Oryzias latipes: one gene and its partners. Each later gene encodes a partner of the first gene's protein in a complex. Links are inferred from orthologs where the notes say so. Each region holds a gene or a part of one and is shown in the gene's direction. Other genes may lie near its edges.

Region 1 (3,500 bases):
CCAGCCGGAGGCCGGCCCTGAAGGCCTGGAGTTTGACATCCCTGCCTTCAAGACAGAATCTATTTATCTATTTCTCATAGCAGCTTCCTAAGTCATTTAAAAAACGTTTACCATGATGTCATCTGCCAATTAGTAAAACACTTCTTTTTCTCTTTATACTGCACTCTGACAGCAGTTCATTAGGAATGAATGAAAGTTGTGCTTTTAGCATTCAGATGCCATTTCTTTTTAAAGGAATTGCTATTTAAATGTTAAAGGATCTTTGCTTTTGAAAAAATCCACTAACTCATCACATGTTTTCATCGTTTGGATACACACCAAAGCATTTGAAGCATAACATGAAAAAAACTTCAAGCAAAGTAAATATCTTCAAGCTTCCTTAGAAGATGTTTTTTAAGTTGCTGAATTATTCAGCAGCTGCAAAAAGTGACTTTGGTTCATTTAGTGCAGAATTGTAGGAAAAGCAAAGCTGTTCTGGTCTTGCATGAGTTGAGTCTTTAATGGGAATTGGATGGCAGCAGAAGTCTGCATGATGCATTTGTTTCTGCTTCCAAGAGTCAGACGGATGAGGAGAGGCGTCCTGCAGATGCTTTAGCTCTGCTGTCAGGTGGTGGGTCATGGTGGCTGTTGGAAACAGGCTCTGACTTGTTGCTCAGACGTGTTCTTGTGTGGTTTCACAGCAACAGCTGGCCCAGCTGCAGAAGGAGAAGTCTGAGATTTTAAAGAACTTGGCTCTGTATTACTTCACTTTTGTGGACGTCATGGAGTTTAAGGTGGGAGAAAGAACATTCTGGAGGAGTTCAGATTTAAAGGCTGTCACTGATGAGTTGCTTTCCATCTTCATCCACAGGACCACGTGTGTGAGCTGCTGAACACCATTGACGCCTGCCAGGTCTACTTTGATATCGTAAGCGCTGATTTTTAGGTTTGTTCCTTTCAGAATGAAGAAGCTCCACTGAACCAGAATTAAACCTGTGATTGTGTTCTCGAGCAGACGGTGAACTTTGACCTGACCAGGAACTACCTGGACCTGGTGGTGACCTACACCACTCTGATGATCATCTTGTCTCGCATCGAGGAGAGAAAAGCCATCATTGGACTCTACAACTACGCGCATGAGATGACGCATGGAGCCAGGTGACAGAGCCAGGTTCTAGTCCCTCAGTCAGGGTCTGATCAGATCAGTCTGTTCGTACTACGGCTGTCTCTAACAGTTATTTCAGTAGTCGATTGATTTTCAATTAGTCGATTAATCTACAATTATTCTTTACGTAAAGTGATGGGCCACTTTTTTATTTTATTTTTTTTACAAAAGGTGACAGTGCTGGTACTCAGTCCGAGGTGGTTCGTGTCATGTACGGTACTGCTAATGACCGCCGGATCGTACGTTGACAGAAATAGAAAATTTACATGTATAGTTCAGGAATTTCTATTTAACCCTAAAAAAGTTTAAAGTCCGTTCGCGAGCTCTACGTACAAATCACATACAAATCAGGCGTTCATTGATTGCTCGCTGACAGTTCAACTGGTTAATCATTTTCACGCTGAATCGCAGCACTGTGACCAATCACGGACTCGGAATCTTTACCGCATAACAAGAGTAAACCCAAAGTCTGCTAGCTTGATGCTAATGTAAAATGGAATTTCCCATAGGACACCTAATGCTCACGCTTGGTCGACCTTAACATACATGGCTGACTAAATGAACAGCTGGATAAACTCACAGGCATGAATTTTTCAAACTCTTTTAAGGAAAACATTTTTAAAGTTATCATTTGTGGTCTGAAGCACAGTTTTTTCTTAAATCTTCTGGAATACAGTGGACATTCCAGAAGTGGACAAACTGAAAACACCCTCCAGGAGAGAAAGTTGTGCTGTAGATAAGCAACAGGCTGGAGAAAATCTTAGTTGTCAACAGTGATACAGTAGAAGTTAAGTACTAAATCCCTCTCTCCTACTTTCAAAGAAGCTGAAATAATACTCTAAATATCTGAAAAATGAATATAAATGGCCCTGATTTTTTTAAAATATTCAGCGCTCAGGTCTTATGTTCTCCTCAGTAGCCTCCAAGTTTGAAAATGTTTGAGGCCCCTGCAATTCATTCAATACAATTCATTTGAACAATGGTTCACACTGGATGGTCACATGACTTCATTCAAAGTCTGTCCACACATTGGACTGGAATGATGGACTGATCCGTGTTCATGACATCACATGTGTGTTGTCCGCTGTGATGAACTTGGTCGTTTTTACGTTGTAGTAAAATAAATGCTACCATGTCTCAATCCAAATGGTATTTCCCAAAGCTGATGACAGATTTATCTCATTTTGAAACAAATGTATAATGGTATGGGTCGATTCGATTTACAACTTGCCTTAGACAGATGGATCTGGTTGGAATGTAGGAATAGAAATGGATTCATCGATTACGTGGATTAATCATTACACCCCTATGTGGTCTGTCTTTAGATCGCAGTGTTACTTGCACTGTGTTTTACATTTTTAACATGGGGGATGGGGAAAGGGTTGTTTATCTATCACAGCTGATCTGTTCTGTTCCTGAGTCCACTGTACCGCACCACATCTGCCAGTCTGCCTCTGCAATGTTCACTTTACTGTGTCCCAGAAGTCTGATGGTGTTCCCTGTACCCTGGAACAGAACAGGGAAAAAGTCAGAGACAAAAACATACTAACATGAGCACAAAGTCAGCTGTCTACACTGGAGTTGCAGCTTAGTCTCTACTGGACTCCTAGAAACAGAAACAGAGCCATGTTTTAGATAAGAGAGGGGACAGCCCCCCCCTTTTGTGTGCCCTGCTGCTTTCAGCATGGTCCGGTAAAGATGTGAGCTGGTGGTTTGCCTTGGAGTTGAATAGATGTCTTTAACAAAGTTCTGAGGGTTCAGTACGGATTCCTGCTGCTGTGTCTGCTGGAAGACAGAAAACAAGGAAACCTGGAGTCACTCTGGATAAACCTGAGCATTATGTGTGTGTGCTGCAGTGACAGGGAGTATCCAAGGCTGGGACAGATGATCGTGGATTATGAGAATCCTCTGAAGAAGATGATGGAAGAGTTTGTCCCTCATGGAAAGGTGAGGCGTGTCCTGTGTTCTCTTAGTGTTTTGGACCGCAGGTATGAGCATTCTAACAAATGGATCCATTTCTGGTTTCTATCACAACCGGAGCAGGATTCCAAAAGTACATTTATCCTTTTTAGTTTCTTGCTTATCTTGTGTAGTTTGGAAATGACAAAGTTCAGCATTTGATTAGAATCAAACAGTCCATAAAGATAAGATAAGTTAATGTTATTGAGCCACTGCTAAGAGAAACACCTGCATTCTTTCAAGAATTTGGTGGTGACCCTAGCTAATTCTGACACAAGCTGCATGTTTGCTGTGACCAGTCTCTGTCGGAAGCCCTGATCAGCCTACAGATGGTTTATCCACGGAGAAACCTGTCTGCTGACCAGTGGAGGAATGCCCAGCTGCTGTCCCTCATCTC
Region 2 (3,500 bases), on another chromosome or scaffold:
CTTCCTGTGCAGTTGTACATGGTCCGCACCATGCTGGAGTCCCTGATAGCAGACAAAAGTGGATCGAAGAAGACTCTCCGCAGCAGTTTGGATGGACCCATAGTGCAGGCCATCGAAGATTTCCATAAGCAGTCCTTCTTCTTCACACATTTACTGAACTTTAGTGGTAAGCTAAATGTAATTCAAGTCATTTATTCAGGAGATGGAATATATTTTTTGATTGAAATCGAAAATTTTAGTTGGAATATCAAACTATAAGTGCATGCTGTTTGTTTTAATGATCCTATTTAAGCATGAAGGTTTTAACAGCTATCTGTACCTCTAATGATTTCCTTATATAGTCCACTTTGTCAGGTACAGCTCATCTAAACTCTAGTGCAGACAATAGGTGAACCTTGCTCTGTTTGAGAGGAAGGTTCTGGTTTTCATGTTTTTTATGGTTGACCAAAGCGCAGAAGTGAACCAAAAGGAGAAATGACATAAGAGTTATGTATTAAAAGTAGCAACAAAATCAGCAAAACTCAGAAGGAATCACATAAAGTTGAAAAGCATTGCAGTGTAAACTTGTAGTGAGGAAATACTAGCGCTAATTATCTGAGAGTGGTTGTGGCAATAGTTGTTTTTCTTCGTCTTCCCTGCTTTGGTCTGCTTATGCTGCCCCCAAGTGAGCAGCACTTGAAACTGCAGGTTTTCTTCAGGCAGTTAAATCTGCTTCAGCAGCTTCTGAGAGCTGTATGTGCTTTAGCAACCCAAACCAGACGAATGTACGACAGTTATTTGAATTTTCTGCTCATTTATACAAAGTCCACAGGACTATCCTTGTGCATGTAAGCAATACTTTTAATTGTGTTTGTCTTGTCCAGAGGCCCTGCAGCAGTGCTGCGACCTGTCCCAGCTCTGGTTCAGGGAGTTCTTCCTGGAGCTGACCATGGGCCGCAGAATCCAGTTCCCCATTGAAATGTCCATGCCATGGATCCTTACTGACCACATCCTGGAGACAAAGGAGCCTTCCATGATGGAGTAAGACTAATTAAGGGGAGATTTGTGTTTTGTACCCTAACAAGTGGGCAGTACTGCAACCATTACCCTTTCTCCTCCAGGTATGTGCTGTACCCCCTTGATTTGTACAACGACAGTGCCTACTATGCTCTTACAAAGTTTAAAAAGCAGTTCCTCTATGATGAAATTGAGGCTGAGGTAAGATCTGATGGACACCAATTCCATTTGGCTCATTTTAAGTTGAATTTGATATATATTTTGTGTGTTATTTGAACAGGTAAACCTGTGCTTTGACCAGTTTGTCTACAAGTTGGCAGATCAGATCTTTGCCTATTATAAAGCAATGGCTGGCAGGTAAAAGGAGATTTTTTTTTTGAACAGAATACAGAAATTTGAGGGCTTCGTTTGAAGAAATTGTGATTTTTTTCCACAGTGTTCTGCTAGACAAGCGTTTCAGGGCAGAGTGTAAAAACTACGGGGTCATCATCCCGTACCCTCCATCAAACCGCTACGAGACGCTGCTCAAACAGAGACACGTACAGGTATCTGCACATCGTCTTTTTGATTATTTTGCTGTCTCATTTGCAAACTATGTCATTGTCGTATTTGACTCGTCTGCAGCTGCTGGGTCGCTCGATTGACCTGAACCGCCTGATCACCCAGAGAATCTCGGCAGCGATGTACAAATCCTTGGATCATGCTATTAGCCGTTTTGAGAGTGAAGACCTCACCTCCATAGTGGTGAGGGGACCATCAGGTGAAGCTTATTCCTGTTCGTTCTCCATATTTTGTTTAAACTCCTTGTATTTTTGGACAGGAGTTGGAGTGGCTCCTGGAGATCAACAGGCTAACCCACAGACTTCTGTGCAAACACTTGACGCTGGACAGCTTTGATGCCATGTTTCGTGAGGCCAACCACAATGTCTCTGCTCCCTACGGACGAATCACGCTCCACGTTTTCTGGGAACTCAACTTCGATTTTCTCCCAAATTACTGCTACAACGGATCAACGAACCGGTCAGCTAAATAAATGTAAAGAAAAACCATTGTTTTGTTTCAACTTTGAACCATCTCTCCTGTTCCTCTCAGCTTTGTGCGAACAGCTATTCCTTTCACCCAGGAGCCTCAAAGAGACAAGCCAGCCAATGTGCAGCCTTATTACTTGTATGGATCCAAGGTATATTGCCATTCTATGTTTGGTGTTCATATTTTTATCTATTTTTTGTTGCTTTTTACACTGTGTAACAAAAGAAAAACTGAAATAATGACTATGCTGCCTCCGATTATGATTCCGATGCTTCCTCTTTTTCTTCTCAGCCTCTGAACATCGCCTACTCCCACATATACAGCTCCTATAGAAACTTCGTCGGCCCGCCTCACTTCAAGACCATCTGCCGCCTGCTTGGTTACCAAGGCATCGCTGTCGTGATGGAGGAGCTGCTGAAAATTGTCAAGAGCCTGGTATTTATCTTCCAATTGCAGCCTCCAAAAAACATGTTGTCATGATCTTTCTGAATTGTAACCGCTATCATTATCTGCCTTTTTCTTTCCCTTTCGATGCTTTTGTCTATCTATTTTACCCTATAGTTGCAGGGCACCATACTGCAATATGTGAAAACTCTGATAGAAGTCATGCCCAAGATCTGCCGTCTACCGCGCCATGAGTATGGTTCCCCCGGTGAGCTCACCTCTGTCTTTTGTCCAACCACATTTACTGACAGGTTTTGAAATTTTAAACTTAAATGTGCACTTTTTATTTTTATTTTTTTTTAGCAAAAATGACTCAAATAAGGAAGTTCAGTGTAAATTCAATTAAAAGCATAGATTGTGACTGGTTGAGGTTTTTTACATACTACATTAAATTAAAAAACCATCAAGCTGAGATTCATAATGACTATTATTGTTATAATCCAGTATAAGATTATTCCAAGAAACCAGATCATTTAATTAAATTCTAATGGTCTATGTAATTGACCAGCAGATTACACTGAAAGCTTTTCATTGGAATCTTCATACTGAGTAAGCTAACAGCAACAGGGCATAAACTTCCATTTTTAAATGGAAGATTAGGAAGAATTCTTCAGCAGAACCAGACTTGATATGAGTAACAGGTTGGGCTCTAAAAGGGGGCTAAATGCTGTGACTGTCCGACACAAATGTGACGGCCCGCAAAAATCAACAATTAACTAAAAGCACCCCACAAACCAAAATAAAACAATATATATAACGTAAGGATGGACGGACAGACAGATGAAGATTAGACAGGCAGACGAGGCCGAATATAGGCATTGAAAAGAGGGGGGCAATGCCACCTAAATGCGTCGGTGCCCCCCTGAATGTGATGGCCCACGACGTCCACCACCAACTATAGAAATAAAAATTACAAAAAAAAAACAAAAAAAAAGACATCATGGAGTTACAGACAGATGGACAAATAGACGGACACGAAAAGAAAAAAAAATACATAAATGCACCCTTAACAGCTTGCTGGTGCCTATCCT
Region 3 (3,377 bases), on another chromosome or scaffold:
ACACTCTGGCACTGGTATACTAGCCGCAGGTCGAAATAACGAATCAATAGTTCGCTAGCTGTTCATAGCTCAGACGCACATATCAGGTTGTGATGATTTGTCTCCGTTTCCTTCCCACAGACGTTAACGCGCACTCGATTATCTCTAGGCCCCGCCCCTCCACATATTTTAGCCAGTTGCAGTGACTTTCCCTATTCTTCTCACACGCATTGGCCGCCTCAGGCATCACTCAATGACATGCGAGTGTGCGCTCGCGTGTGCTCCAGTCTCACGAGTGTGTGTGTGTCTGTCTGCGTGCGTGTGGGCTCGCGTCTCATTGATGATTTCATTGCTCATTTCATTGATCATTGACGGACCGCTTCCACGTTTAATGAATAAAAAAATACGGAGGGTGGGGGAGGCAAATTTACTGGTCGCGCATGTGCGACTGGATGTAAAATTCAGTCGCACAGTCTCAAATTTTGGTCGCAAAATGCGAGCAAATGGTCGCAGTCTGGAGCCCTGTGGATGAATGAGTCTTCATCGACATGTATCACAATCTGGGAATATTAGCACAGGTATTCTGTTTTCGTTTGCGCAATGTTCAATTGCGACAGACAAGAAACTTGAAACTAAGCTGATGCACTTTTATGTAATATGTAATCGTATGGTAGAAACAATATCCAGAGGTAGCAACATGATGGTTTAGGTGATACGATGACTGTAATTGTCCTGTTTGTCTTGTGTGGTAAACCTGTTTGTTAAAGTCAGCCTGTCATCAGTGTTGTGAAATTATTAGCCAACCTGAAGACAAATGAACAGCTCTACCACCAGAAAAAAAGGAATCTTCCTAACTTTTAATTTGATCAGGACTTTTAAATTCTCTTGCCAGTAAATAGTATTTAAAGCTGCAAATTGAAAGTGATTCTCTTATGTGCTGCATGTTTATTTGAAAAGACACAATGTTACGCTTTGATTTTTCTTTCAGTATGTAAAATCGGGGGTCATACAATATGTCCATAAAGCCAAAAAACAGCAAAGATGAGAGCAAGAAAGATGAAAGAAAAGTGAAGCAATAGAACTTAATTGATCTTAACAGCCTCCTGAGAGTGATTCAATGAAGTTTAGTCATTCATGCATAAATAGATCCGACACTGCCATCCAAAAAAAAGATTTGAAGAAAATGATTGAAAATGAGGAATCCTGGCTCCAAACATTGACTGTGTATGAGAACTGGGCTGAGACGTCCCCCATAGAAAATGCCTTACTTCCCGTTCCAACCAAATAAAGTCAATTCAATCGCCATTTTTTCATGATGTGGACATTTCCTCATTGAAAACAGACAACGTCAGTAAACTGTGGTAGGTCTGAGTCAGCATTTCTATGGCAACCACTCAATCAGGAGTGAGTTTGTTGGAAGGCCACACCCCTTTCACTGAAAACAGGCTTGGGAGAATTTGCCGATCAAATGTTTAATGTGACACATACTTTTGAGTCATCTGATTGTTCAGTTTACTACTTTTACTACAGAAAGATTAACATGAAAAAATGTAAGATTAGCAAGAACATGTAAGGAAAATGAATTACAAAAATGGTTATTCTTACAACTAGAATGAGTAATAGTTGTTTATTTCTCAATAGAAGTCTTAGGGGTTTTGGCTTTCTGGTACCACTGAGGACATTGTGTTTGGATTTAAAATGAGCACCAAAGCTTTTGTTCCTGTTTATAGTTCTACTGTATTGTCCAAACAACGCTCTGTTTTAGGTTTTAACCTGCGGAAGGTGGAAGCTCAGCGGGAGCAGGAGAAGAGGGATCACTTTGGAAACGATGTGGCCGCCATCTTGTCCCGCCGTATCGCTGTGGAGTGCAGTGACAGCGAGGACGACTCCTCCGAGTTTGACGATGATGAGTGGTCCGAGTGAGACCCGGTCTTTTCCCCTCACCACGTCTTTCCCAATCGTTAAACAACGTTGTGGATTTCCATTTAAATTGCTCTTCATCTACATGTTTCCTTCGTTGGTTTAACATGTACTTGTATTTTAAATCACATTCCTAGAAACAGTTATTGCCAATTTTTCCACCTTATTTATGTGTAAAGGTCCAAAGGTTAGAACTAAGCCCAAGCATGCTCGCTTGTGTCCCACAGTTTTCTCAGGAAAATCACTGTTATAATAAATATCTTATTCATCCTCCTATATCCTTAATGCCTGTCTGCAGGTGTCTCTCGCTTTTTGTCAATGACGGGAATCTGTGTTTTTATTTTCCTGATGATGTACTTAGTTGTACAGTTTCTCTCTTGCATTCAGCTTTGCGGTTTAACCCCAGTGAAAGATAAGTATTGATTTTCAGACAGCAAATATACCCAAAGTTTATTATCAAATCCGTCTTCCAGATGAAGAAATTCTCCTTTTTTTCCTTCTCATTTAAGTATTCAAACACATTATTGGTGTTCAATAAAGATCAAATCTTATGGTTGTAGCTCAAAAAAACGGATCTTCCCACCTGTGTTGGACAACATCCGTGCCTTATTAAACATGCAGACATGTCTCAAAAATAAGATTTATTGTGTAATATATTTTACTCTTTGTAAATTATATTTGGATTTTTTTGGGGGGGGGGATGTTGTATGCACTGTTGTCTGCTTCACTGATGTAAACAGCAGCCTTTTTTTTGTCTTAGGCTTTCCACGTCTCCTCTGAGCACAAATTTGATTAGCCTAACAAGAACGAAGTTCAGACAAAAAAAACATATTCACGGATTCCAGTGATGTCAAATCTAAAGTGCCTTTTTTTTGTCTTTTTTGGCTACAGAGCAATCAAATGTTTTTTCCAAAGTGTTCGTTTTCTGCCTTAAACTTTTAAATGATTTATTTCAATAAATATAGAATGAAGCTAAAAGATGGCTCCGATTTATTTATTTGTTCCTTCTCCATGTATGCACATTATAATGCTCTGGTGAAAAGGAAATTTTATCTCCAAATGAAATTGGTAATCCTCCAGGAACCACTGATAATCCCAAGGCGTTCCCCCGGGCTTCATTCTAGGTCCTGTGCTTTTTATTCTGTATGTGTTATAATAAAAATGTTTAGTATGTCTAAAGGAGTCCCGCCATTTACGTCCATACTAATGCAGATCATTCTTAAGCTTATGGTGCCTTTACTCCTGATGAGTCGGTGTATTGATGCACTTTTAAACTGCATTTTAGATATAGAAGTAGTGATGGCAGAGAATTTTTTGATACTCAACTCAACCAAAAAGTTTTGATAATAATAATGGATTGGATGGATCTGTGCTTATCCAGCTTCTCAAAGGCTGATGTAAAGGACATCAGTCTTGTTGCTGCAAAAAAATTATTGAAGCTCAGTGTTAAAAAAAAAAAAAAGCATTGCAAGCTAATC

What was found. Proteins that work in one complex are often made in the same cells at the same time.
Region 2: nckap1 (region 1) and cytoplasmic FMR1-interacting protein 2 share a complex: the UniProt entries of both Homo sapiens proteins name them as parts of the WAVE1 complex. The link is inferred for Oryzias latipes from reciprocal best matches to the Homo sapiens genes NCKAP1 and CYFIP2.
Region 3: nckap1 (region 1) and wasf2 share a complex: the UniProt entries of both Homo sapiens proteins name them as parts of the WAVE2 complex. The link is inferred for Oryzias latipes from reciprocal best matches to the Homo sapiens genes NCKAP1 and WASF2.

The regions. Positions count from the first base shown.
Region 1 is NC_019873.2:796,402-799,901, reverse strand, and holds part of nckap1 (nck-associated protein 1), read left to right. Parts: intron 1-680; coding exon 681-773; intron 774-850; coding exon 851-907; intron 908-994; coding exon 995-1,137; intron 1,138-3,000; coding exon 3,001-3,091; intron 3,092-3,402; coding exon 3,403-3,500. UniProt on the Homo sapiens protein: Part of the WAVE complex that regulates lamellipodia formation. The WAVE complex regulates actin filament reorganization via its interaction with the Arp2/3 complex. Actin remodeling activity is regulated by RAC1.
Region 2 is NC_019868.2:21,208,222-21,211,721, forward strand, and holds part of cytoplasmic FMR1-interacting protein 2, read left to right. Parts: intron 1-12; coding exon 13-166; intron 167-863; coding exon 864-1,020; intron 1,021-1,100; coding exon 1,101-1,197; intron 1,198-1,276; coding exon 1,277-1,353; intron 1,354-1,432; coding exon 1,433-1,541; intron 1,542-1,620; coding exon 1,621-1,740; intron 1,741-1,816; coding exon 1,817-2,016; intron 2,017-2,088; coding exon 2,089-2,176; intron 2,177-2,316; coding exon 2,317-2,460; intron 2,461-2,586; coding exon 2,587-2,677; intron 2,678-3,500. UniProt on the Homo sapiens protein: Involved in T-cell adhesion and p53/TP53-dependent induction of apoptosis. Does not bind RNA. As component of the WAVE1 complex, required for BDNF-NTRK2 endocytic trafficking and signaling from early endosomes.
Region 3 is NC_019869.2:21,789,727-21,793,103, reverse strand, and holds the end of wasf2 (wiskott-Aldrich syndrome protein family member 2), read left to right. Parts: intron 1-1,744; coding exon 1,745-1,902; 3' UTR 1,903-2,877; downstream 2,878-3,377. UniProt on the Homo sapiens protein: Downstream effector molecule involved in the transmission of signals from tyrosine kinase receptors and small GTPases to the actin cytoskeleton. Promotes formation of actin filaments. Part of the WAVE complex that regulates lamellipodia formation.